Arabidopsis thaliana: one gene and its partners. The protein of the gene in region 1 interacts with the protein of each later gene in a biochemical or structural test. Each region holds a gene or a part of one and is shown in the gene's direction. Other genes may lie near its edges. The genes, in order: E2F3, DPB and DPA.

Region 1 (3,754 bases):
GAGAAGTTAGGATTCTCGCGGCGGAGCGCCACCGCGATGTTTAAGAGATTCCCGCAGCTGTTTAATTACAGTATTGCTGAGAATTATGAGCCGAAGTTGAAGTATTTGATGGTGGAGATGGGGAGAGATGTTAGAGAGGTTCTTGAGTTTCCTCAGTATTTCTCGTTTAGTTTGGAGAATCGGATTAAACCGAGACATGAAGCTTGTGCTGCGAAAGGTGTGAGGTTTCCATTGCCGGTGATGTTGAAGACTAATGAAGCTGGTTTTAGAGATACATTGGAGGTATGTTGTGATTCTTCTCCGCCATTGAAGACCTCTCGCCTTGTTACTGTACAAAAAGATTCTTGATTTATAGAGTTTTGTGTGCTAGGAGAACATGGAAGCAAGTGAGTGAGAGTTTCTTGCTTTTTGTTGTTGTTTTTTTGTTTAATGGAGTTGGAGAATTGGTGAGAATTGATGGGGTTTGCTTTGTTTTTAGGTACATTTTTGTAATGAATGATGATGAAGAACTCAATGAATGAAGAAACCAGCCTCTGCCTACATTTTGAGACACACACAGGGATGGTGAGTTAAATCTTGATAAGAGAAAGAATGTTCATTTACAATTCACGATTCCGATGTATTTCGGTCTAGTTATTGTTAGTGAACGAGAAATCAAGTGTATGTAAGTCCAGAAACCGTGTAGAGTTGCGATTTGCAGAGAATTGTGATTCTACAATTGGAGGCAAGATGATGAATGTGTGAACTGATTAGCGTAACGGTTTAGTTATTGGTCTTAAGTCTTAACAGGGAGAATTGGTTCTAGAGCTTTTAGTCCCTTTGATGGTTCGTGAAATGCCAGTGGTCTATGATCGGATTCTCTGTTTCCGTTCTCCTTCTTTTTTTGGGCCTTAAATCCGTTTTTATTGGGCTTCAACTTGATAACGACTTTACATTCTCTCGGCTCAAATGGGGTACACTCGTAATGAACATGAATGAACTTAAGGTACTACAATACAACAATGCCTCACACTCTCTAAGTGAACCATTTTTCTTGTGACCTGTAATAAGCTAACGGCGCAGGACAAGAAAAAAGCGGTACGAAAACTTTGCCAATCTAGGTCTTTACCAATTTCTATTTACCCTTTCTAACTATTTTCTATCACTCATTTGTCGTTAATACTAATTAATGACATCAATCATGTGCAATATTATAGTCCTCCAAATACTGAATTGAATTATGAATCCTTCATCAAGTGACTTTAGACTTAATCTACACTTCGCATCAGTTTTTCCACTGCCATACATGATACAACAACCACTAATCAATACAAAAGGATAAAAAATAAAAATAAAAATATTATTACACATATCATAACGGAAACAGCAGCACATGTACTATAAACAAACTCTATCCCAATCTATTTGCAGAAATCTGTTTACCGACTACACACATTTAAATAAAAATTTCAGATTCAAAAAACAAGTTCTAGATCAAAAATATATATGCATGATCTCCTCTTCTTCACCATTATAAAGAACAGAAAAGAATCTCAATATTCCCGTTACTAAAAGGCACAAAAAGTAATTTCCCTAAAGTAAGTAGGGTCAATCTAAAACTAAATACAAAATCCCGGGGCACAAATAGAAAGAAAAAAAAGTATATATTTATTTCCTTAACATTTTATTTATTATTGCTATAGGCTTCCCTCCACATCTATCCCAACATAAAATTCCCTCCTTCCCTCGTTTTCTGCTCTCTCCTTTTCTTTTCTTCTTCCTCTTTCTCTCACTAAAACCCTTGTTTCCTTCACTCGCCGTCGCTTTTCCCGTCATCGGAATCTTCAAATTCGACTCTCGCTTCACTACGATCCATGTCCGGTGTCGTACGATCTTCTCCCGGTTCTTCTCAGCCGCCACCGCCGCCGCCGCACCATCCACCGTCATCTCCGGTTCCGGTTACATCTACGCCGGTTATACCACCTATACGTCGTCACTTAGCTTTCGCCTCAACAAAACCTCCGTTTCATCCTTCCGATGATTACCATCGATTTAACCCTTCTTCGCTCAGTAATAATAACGACAGGAGCTTCGTTCATGGTTGTGGTGTTGTAGATCGGGAGGAAGATGCTGTCGTTGTTAGATCTCCTGTGAGTTTTGGGTGCTTTTGATTCTTCGATTTAGAGATTTTCCCCAGTGAGATTGGTTTAGAAATTCGAGGATGTTTTGGGGATTTCGATTGCTACTTGTTGCTTCTAAGTCTGATTCAAAAGCTTCGCAGCGTTAGATTATCGTCGATTCGTGTCAATTTTTGTCGTTTGTTTAGCTTCGCGATGGTACATTTTGCTCATAACACTGCGTTTCAATTACACCCAATTGACGCAAATCAGACATCAATTTCTCCAATTGCCATGCCAAATTGGCTCTGATTGTTGCGTGAGGTGTTGAATGTTCACATAGTGTTGAGCATTAGCTTATTGATATCAAAGTATTGGTGTATGAAGCTTGACATTGTTTGTTAATGTATAATGTTTCAAGTAGATCCCAATGTTGTGAAAGTTTATGAGGAATGATATAGATAATTTGTGTGTGGATGCTTTAAAACCTTTTGGATGATATTTCTTTGACCAACTTCTTTAAGCTAATAACAACTTGTTTATATGCAGTCACGAAAGAGAAAGGCGACAATGGATATGGTTGTTGCTCCATCTAATAATGGATTCACGAGTTCTGGTTTCACTAACATACCTAGCAGTCCCTGTCAAACTCCTAGAAAAGGGGGCAGAGTCAACATCAAGTCAAAGGCCAAAGGAAACAAGTCAACTCCTCAAACACCCATCTCGACAAACGCTGGTAAGAAGAATTGTATTCTTGACTCTCTACCCCTTTTGGCCTTTCTATATAGTTAGATCCTTTTATGAAATATCTTTCATGTCTAGAGTAACAAGTAAGTCGAAGAGCTGATTACTTTCCTGGTCAACTTGCAGGTTCTCCTATCACACTTACTCCATCAGGAAGTTGTCGTTATGACAGTTCTTTAGGTAATTAACAACTTTTCACATATATATTTAATATTCGATACATGTTATAGTGTATATGAAGATGCTGACATAAAAGCTGTTCAGGTCTCCTTACAAAAAAGTTCGTCAATCTAATTAAACAAGCCAAAGATGGAATGCTGGACCTAAACAAAGCTGCAGAAACATTGGAGGTGCAGAAACGACGTATATATGATATTACAAACGTTTTGGAGGGGATAGATCTCATTGAAAAGCCTTTCAAGAATCGAATACTTTGGAAGTGAGGATTTTTATGATATAGTATGCTTATGTATTTTGTACTGAAAGCATATCCTGCTTCATTGGGATATTACTGAAAGCATTTAACTACATGTAAACTCACTTGATGATCAATAAACTTGATTAGGGGAGTTGATGCGTGTCCTGGCGATGAGGATGCTGACGTATCTGTATTACAGGTGTAGTGAAACAGCATACACTCAAAAGTCATTGTGCATGTAAATCTTAAAATATCATGTAGTTCTCGCTTCCTTTGATTAATGTTCTTGTTTTGTAGCTGCAGGCAGAAATTGAAAACCTCGCCCTCGAAGAGCAAGCATTAGACAACCAAATCAGGTAAGCATTCATTTAAAGAGTTTTGGGTTATTGTGATTAATCTATTTAACCAATGCTGACGCTTTAACAACTTTTATTCAGACAAACAGAGGAAAGATTAAGAGACCTGAGCGAAAATGAAAAGAATCAGAAGTATAAAT
Region 2 (3,754 bases), on another chromosome or scaffold:
TGTATCAGGTAAGGATGTGAGAATGTTGATTCCCATATTCTTTTTGGTCCAGAAAATCTGTTTCCCTTCCATTGAAGTGGTTTGCTGTTGGGCAGTGTTGGAGATATGAGAGAATGACACGAGGAAGGCGACGTGAGCATTACCAGTGGAATATGGATATTATTGGTGTGCCTGAAGTTACAGTATGTATCTCTCATACCTTTAATCACTTTAGGCCTTCTAGTTTTTTGTTATATGAACCTGATCTGTGTTTAAAGTCTCTATAAGCCGGCTAATTTGGTTCACAAACCTTTTCTTTTAGGCTGAAGCAGAACTAATTTCATCTATAATGACATTCTTCAAGCGAATTGGAATCACTGCATCAGATGTGGGTTTTAAGGTTTCAAGCCGCAAGGTATTTTTGCTTACGTTCTCTTTTGATGTGATATGATCATTTTGTTTCTTGGTTTACACTCTAGATACAGAACCAAGTAACTCACTTGCAATGCTAAACATGAGTTGAGATTATTTTGCACGATCTGCAGCATCTGAATATCCACTGTAGCTAACATCTCCCATAACTTCTTCCTTGTACAGGTTTTACAAGAATTTTTAAAAAAGTATGGTGTACCCGAAGACCTGTTTGGAAGAGTTTGCTTCATTATAGACAAGGTTAGCAATCTAAACATCAATTAACAGCTGCTTTGTTGCCAGAATTGGGACAAGAAGTAGAGAACATCGTGTGTGCTTTGGACAAAGATCTCCAAGGAGCTGCAACCACCATTGCAACCGCTCTTAAAGACAAAGGGCAAACCGTTGATTTAGTATTGGAGAGTAAACCGCTGAAATGGGTGTTCAAGAGAGCGGCTCGGGTAAACGCAAGAAGGCCGGTTCTGGTTGGGAAGTTGGTTCGGTCAGTGTCAAGGTTTTGTCTTCAGGTGAGCAATTTCAAGTCAAACTTGATGACTTGGAGTAGTAGTATCTAAGGCTTGAACAAATTGTTCAATTGTCCTTTTTTTCAAAAGCAATTGAGTTGAGATTGGATTTTTATTTTGTCCTCAAAGGTTTCATTAAGAATTTTATTGATGGATCTTCAATACTCGTTTATTCGTCTAATAGTGATTTACAAAATATACTTTTTGACTTCGAATCAGCCACATGTGGCATGTGATTTTTATTTCAAACCGAGAAATGCTAAAAAGAAAAGAAAATGTGCCTTTCGTGAACCTTAAGCTACATTATCACATAATCTTCGGAACTAGAAAAACTCTTTTGCTCCAGTTTTAGTAATGAAAGAGGATGAACATGATATGTTTATATTTCCTAAAAGCTCAAATCTTATCAACACTAGAATGAGTAAATTTCATATAATGAAAATTCATATCGAATGTGATTGACTAGTGGTATCAACCACACATGTTTTTAACTTTTTGACTTGATCATCCATCTACATTATGATGTATCAATGTATGTTTTTTATATTTGTTTTCATGCTTATTAAAGCCATATAAACATATTTTGGTAGATAATTCCAGTATTTAGCCAACAAAAGAAGAAGACGAAGATAATTTTAGTGTTTAGCCAAAATAAAAATAAAAAGATAATTCCAGTATTATATTCTGATTAACAAAAGACCTAAATTTCACTAAAGAGAATTAATCTTTTGGTAAAATAAAAAAAAAGTAAAGAAAATTATCTTCTTTAACTTTTTGTTTTTTTTTCACCTATGAGTCAGTTTGGTCCCTCTCTCTCTCTCTCATTGTGGACATCTTTTCACCATCGCACAAATAACAAGCCTCCCAACCCCGATCGACTTATCCTCCTCCTTCTCCGGCGAAATCCATTAACTCTCCGCCGCGAAAACCACCTTTCCAGAGTAGTATCACACTAAGAATTCTAATGTTGATCCGCCATTATTGAAGCTTCTAATTCTCGTTAATAACCAAAAACCCAAGTCGATTTTCAAGGTCAGTACTCAAAATCTGGGTTTTCGTCAAAATCAGAAACTTTCCTTGACAAATTTTAACAAATCTCTTTCTCGTTTTCTATTGAATTCTCCAGTAGCGCGGTAGTTAGTTTTAGGTGGAAGAAGAATGACAACTACTGGGTCTAATTCTAATCACAACCACCATGAAAGCAATAATAACAACAATAACCCTAGTACTAGGTCTTGGGGCACGGCGGTTTCAGGTCAATCTGTGTCTACTAGCGGCAGTATGGGCTCTCCGTCGAGCCGGAGTGAGCAAACCATCACCGTTGTTACATCTACTAGCGACACTACTTTTCAACGCCTGAATAATTTGGACATTCAAGGTGATGATGCTGGTTCTCAAGGAGCTTCTGGGTATGTAAACCACCTCAATTCTGTGATTTTTATATTAAAAGGCTTTGATGTGTTTATTGTGATGTTTGGTTTAGCGATTTTTAGGGTTTTCATTCTATTGCAATGGCTGCTTTTATGAGCTTAATGAATATATGAAACTGAACCAGTAGATGTAAGTATGATGTGTGGATCATACTTTTACAAGCTTGAATTTGGCTCTCCTGATATGTATTAGTCTAAAATCTACTAATAATCTGCATATTTGAATACTCATCTTTCCTATCCTTATTGGGACAAAAGATACTGTTTAGGCCATTGTCTTTGTGCGTTAATTTTTGTGTGGAAGTTGTTACATGTGTTCTGTGTAGTTTAGTTGATCATATAATCTATTTACAGTGTTAAGAAGAAGAAGAGGGGACAGCGTGCGGCTGGTCCAGATAAGACTGGAAGAGGACTACGTCAATTTAGTATGAAAGGTCTTATCTCTTTCTCTGCCCCTATTATGCTTTCATCTAAATGCCTTTCAAGTTTCTAGCTATGAATTGTGTGGATAATGCCTCTTAAGATTGGTTATACATTTAACTGATATTATGTTCGTCTGGCCTTCCTTTCAGTTTGTGAAAAGGTGGAAAGCAAAGGAAGGACAACTTACAATGAGGTACGGTAGTTTCCTTTTTAAACAAAAAGCTTCACAGTATTTATGCTTTGCAAGATCCATTCACTTCTGTTTATGTTATATGATGATACTGATTTATTGTGCTTACCAGTGTGATTAAACACTTGTCAAGATCACATATGGGAATATCAATTTGTCTCATGATTAGTACTGCAAACGTGTAGCTCTGTAATACGGTATCTAACAGGTGATAGTACTTTCAGGTTGCAGACGAGCTTGTTGCTGAATTTGCACTTCCAAATAACGATGGAACATCCCCTGATCAGGTATGCGTTTCTTCGATAGTTTCTACCCTGGAACGTGTGCAATACTCGTTGTGAACTCTGATGAAATTATATCATGTGAAAACGTTTTACCAGCAACAGTATGATGAGAAAAACATAAGACGAAGAGTATATGATGCTTTAAACGTCCTCATGGCTATGGATATAATATCCAAGGATAAAAAAGAAATTCAATGGAGAGGTCTTCCTCGGACAAGCTTAAGCGACATTGAAGAATTAAAGGTTTCAACCACATATTCTATGTGCAGATGTTCCATAGCTTGTTTAGAGAATTTTCCTGAATTTGAATTATTTTGTTTTGCAGAACGAACGACTCTCACTTAGGAACAGAATTGAGAAGAAAACTGCATATTCCCAAGAACTGGAAGAACAAGTAATGAACATCATCGATACTCTCGGCTTATCTGCTTCCTGTTACTTTTATCATAGATTCTTACATGGTCCTTCTATCATCTCTGTGTATGTCTGAAAGTATGTAGGCCTTCAGAATCT
Region 3 (3,754 bases), on another chromosome or scaffold:
ACGAATTTAATTAACTAATCCAGCTTTGTTGACTATCTAAGTGTATTATAAATTCTAAAACAATCGAATCAAAGAGTTTGAGGATAACTACGAGGACAACATATTTTTTACTTTAAAAAAAAAAAATGCATTTTGAGTCAGTTTTATGAGTATCATATTAGCTTGTTGATGTATTTCACCATGTCAGTTTTTAATTTATGAAGGCGAGTAATGATTGTGTAAAAACAATTTTGGGCAAACATAGGAAAAATATAAAAAACATATTAAATTTCCAAAATTAAATAAATAGTCTATTACTCTACTAGATTTCAGATGTTAAGAAAGAAAAAGCTACTGGAATAAATACGCATACCATATGATACGGTAACATTATTTTGTTTATTGTATGTTCAGTTCCTCAAGGGACACTTGAACATTATGAATAATATATTTACTGCAATAGATATAATTGTTTATGTGATATAAACGAAAGTTGACAAAAAAAGAAGACTAATTAAAGAGTAGAATTAGTGAACCAAAAAAAAGAGAAGAAAGAATCAAACATGACTTTAAAAACTCAATAATTGAGATCTGAGAAGACATTGAAGATGACCCCAAAAAGATATTGGGAGTTGCCACCTCTCATCTCCCAAAACAACGACAGATATACAAACAGCAAACAAACATTTAAATAGATCACACTATTTCTTTTTTTTGTAATGACAAAACATATATTTATATATTCTGACAACACATAGAAACATCAAAGTAAACAAATCAAATTTGAAGTTATATTGTTTCAAAATCTTATGATAGTGCATAGCTATGAATAGCATGAGGAATTGATTAGTCCATACCGGTCTGATTAAGGTATACGAGAAGGAAGGTATACATAAAGGTTAAACAAAAAAAGAGGTGAAGAAGAGAAACATGGCTAGTGAAACTCTAAACGGTTGGAAATGATGATGAAGCAATGAGTAAGAGAATGACTCTCCGCAATCAAGCAGCGTAGGAACTAGGAACAGCTTTGGTTCTCATGGCCATGCTCCAAACTTTCTTATCAACTCGAACTAGTTAAAACTACAAACAAAATAATTTAATTTAATCTTCATATGGAGAGAAAAAAAACAATCATGGAGAACAAGTGGCAAGTACCAAGTGGTTGCAATTATCATAAACATATCCTTTTTCAAACTTTAAAGCTTTTAATCGGTTAACAACTTGAACAAACAGTTATGCTGAAATTTATCATATAGTTTTCAGTACTATACGAGTACGATCATCGTATAAAGAAGAAAAAGAAAAAGGATCAAGCAACTATGCATATATTCTTTCGATCTAGTGAAAGTGCAACGCAACCTTCTCACACGTTGCAGGCTTAAAGCACTAACGTGTAAAACTATAAGCATCTTAGAAAAGAAATAAAAAGTATATGAGAATAGTGAGTTTTTTTTTTTAATAGTTACAAGTTGATGATACGGACCATGTCTTATATATAAGACGAAAAAATCATAAACTTTATAAGCTAGCGATAATGTTTTCAATAACTTAAATGCATACGTACCAAACATTTTTTCAAGATTCAGTGAACTTAATATTATTATTTTTTAAACAATTGGATCGAATACAAACACAACTGTCAACATATGTAATAGAGACAGCCAAATTTTCATTATTTATTTGGTAACGTTATCGATTATCAAAGAGTTTAATACGTGATCGATTTTAGACATATAATTAGCCCAACGGGCTTAAAATTACAAAGAGTTACAAAAGGCCCATTTAAATCCCCCGCCAAAGTTGAAAAACGACACCGTAGCGGTTGGGTTCGAACACAGAGAGTGCGTGTGTTTTGTTTTTGTTGAGGCTTTTGATGGGCTATGGAGAATTCTGTGTTTGTTTGTTGTTACAGTTTGTTTGTTTGTTTATAGCGGGAACTCTCACCCAAAGTAATTTCATCTCCGATTTTTTTTTTTTGGTTGTTGTTCGCATCTCTGTGTAATAAAAAGAGTAAAACCAAAACCCTAGAAAAAAAATCTCCATCTTTTTTTATTCCGCCATTGGAAGATCGATCACTGGTTCGTTCTTTGATCTTTTGAAACGGATTCGAGCTTTAGCCTTTATTTCTCTGAACTAGGGTTTTCTTCACCATCGTTAGATCTAATCCAACTGGTTGATGATTCCCATTTCATAAATTTTGTTTAGCTTTTGTTAAAAAATTGAAATTGGAGCTGTCAACAATTTAGGGTTTTTTAGATTGTGTCTATTGATTCATCGGTTTTAGTCAACGATGGATTTGAGACATGAACAACTAATTGATTTGATTTCGTGTAGCTAACTTTGTTAATTGGTAAATTGTGTAGAGAAGGATGAGTATGGAGATGGAGTTGTTTGTCACTCCAGAGAAGCAGAGGCAACATCCTTCAGTGAGCGTTGAGAAAACTCCAGTGAGAAGGAAATTGATTGTTGATGATGATTCTGAAATTGGGTCAGTGTTAATTATTCTTCTTACTCACAAAGTCTCTGGTTTTTTTACTTGGAGCTAAAATGTCTGTATTGAATTTGTGTTTAAAAGATCAGAGAAGAAAGGGCAATCAAGAACTTCTGGAGGCGGGCTTCGTCAATTCAGTGTTATGGGTCAGTGATATATCTCTCTTAGCTCAAACATGCCTGAAGTGAAAGTATTGTTGTTTTGCTGATTTTGATTTAACTTCACACAGTTTGTCAGAAGTTGGAAGCCAAGAAGATAACTACTTACAAGGAGGTATTACTCTCTTTGTTCCATTAAGGAATTGGTGATGTAATCAATGAGTTTTCAGTTTAAGACGCATTAGAATTGATCTTTATATGAACAAGTATTCACTTCAAGAAGCAATCCTCTAAGTTAGTTGTTGAGCATTGTCTCAAATTCTTCTTCTAATCAGGAGTCTTGCCCTTATATAGAGGCATTGTATCAGAAAATGTGAAAATCTACGTTTGAGACTGTGGCTCTTGTGATTCCAGGTTGCAGACGAAATTATTTCAGATTTTGCCACAATTAAGCAAAACGCAGAGAAGCCTTTGAATGAAAATGAGGTATAGCGAGATGGAAAGCTCATATCATCTGTCTTGAGTTATTTGGAAAAAAAAAAAGCTATAACAACATTCTCTTATGTTCAATCAGTACAATGAGAAGAACATAAGGCGGAGAGTCTACGATGCGCTCAATGTGTTCATGGCGTTGGATATTATTGCAAGGGATAAAAAGGAAATCCGGTGGAAAGGACTTCCTATTACCTGCAAAAAGGATGTGGAAGAAGTCAAGGTTTAGCTTCCAAGCTTTTCCTTTCAGTTATCTCATCTATGTAATTGCTCTCTCTCTTCGTCTTCTCTACTAATCTCTCTACCTCTATTTGCAGATGGATCGTAATAAAGTTATGAGCAGTGTGCAAAAGAAGGCTGCTTTTCTTAAAGAGTTGAGAGAAAAGGTGATCTTCTTTCTGTTTGATGGAAAATTTAAATACAAGACTCTCTTAGAATTTGAGATCTTGTTATGCATGTCAATAGATGACAAAAGTTATTGATATTGCAGGTTTTCTAGAATCCATAGATACGTCGTGTATTGAATCATTTTATGTTGTCTTAATGAAATGTTAAACCGTCTTTCTACGTTTTGCTTATAATGTTACTCAAATGTTGTTATCATCAGGTCTCAAGTCTTGAGAGTCTTATGTCGAGAAATCAAGAGATGGTTGTGAAGACTCAAGGCCCAGCAGAAGGATTTACCTTACCATTC

Evidence for each region.
Region 2: the proteins of E2F3 (region 1) and DPB form a complex in vitro, tested with the Arabidopsis thaliana proteins (one study listed by BioGRID).
Region 3: the proteins of E2F3 (region 1) and DPA form a complex in vitro, tested with the Arabidopsis thaliana proteins (one study listed by BioGRID).

What each region holds. Positions count from the first base shown.
Region 1 is NC_003071.7:15,117,835-15,121,588, forward strand, and holds the start of E2F3 (E2F transcription factor 3), read left to right. Parts: upstream 1-1,754; 5' UTR 1,755-1,853; coding exon 1,854-2,129; intron 2,130-2,165; coding exon 2,166-2,315; intron 2,316-2,645; coding exon 2,646-2,832; intron 2,833-2,884; coding exon 2,885-2,926; intron 2,927-2,966; coding exon of another isoform or gene 2,967-3,020; intron 3,021-3,104; coding exon 3,105-3,279; intron 3,280-3,405; coding exon 3,406-3,457; intron 3,458-3,555; coding exon 3,556-3,614; intron 3,615-3,695; coding exon of another isoform or gene 3,696-3,746; intron 3,747-3,754. Other genes in the region: EMB3114 (Mitochondrial transcription termination factor family protein), read left to right, coding at 1-348. UniProt on the Arabidopsis thaliana protein: Transcription activator that binds DNA cooperatively with DP proteins through the E2 recognition site, 5'-TTTC[CG]CGC-3' found in the promoter region of a number of genes whose products are involved in cell cycle regulation or in DNA replication.
Region 2 is NC_003076.8:840,770-844,523, forward strand, and holds the start of DPB (Transcription factor DP), read left to right. Parts: upstream 1-1,718; 5' UTR 1,719-1,946; intron 1,947-2,040; 5' UTR 2,041-2,072; coding exon 2,073-2,323; intron 2,324-2,698; coding exon 2,699-2,778; intron 2,779-2,916; coding exon 2,917-2,960; intron 2,961-3,181; coding exon 3,182-3,244; intron 3,245-3,337; coding exon 3,338-3,484; intron 3,485-3,566; coding exon 3,567-3,635; intron 3,636-3,734; coding exon 3,735-3,754. Other genes in the region: AT5G03406 (Class II aaRS and biotin synthetases superfamily protein), read left to right, coding at 53-182, 302-394, 577-675. UniProt on the Arabidopsis thaliana protein: Involved in the regulation of the G1/S transition. Increases the DNA binding activity of E2F proteins after heterodimerization.
Region 3 is NC_003076.8:543,018-546,771, reverse strand, and holds the start of DPA (Transcription factor DP), read left to right. Parts: upstream 1-1,816; 5' UTR 1,817-2,057; exon of another isoform or gene 2,058-2,342; 5' UTR 2,343-2,348; coding exon 2,349-2,467; intron 2,468-2,554; coding exon 2,555-2,616; intron 2,617-2,699; coding exon 2,700-2,743; intron 2,744-2,982; coding exon 2,983-3,054; intron 3,055-3,142; coding exon 3,143-3,283; intron 3,284-3,377; coding exon 3,378-3,446; intron 3,447-3,667; coding exon 3,668-3,754. UniProt on the Arabidopsis thaliana protein: Involved in the regulation of the G1/S transition. Increases the DNA binding and the transactivation activities of E2F proteins after heterodimerization. The complex DPA/E2FA promotes cell division and acts as a regulator of the endocycle.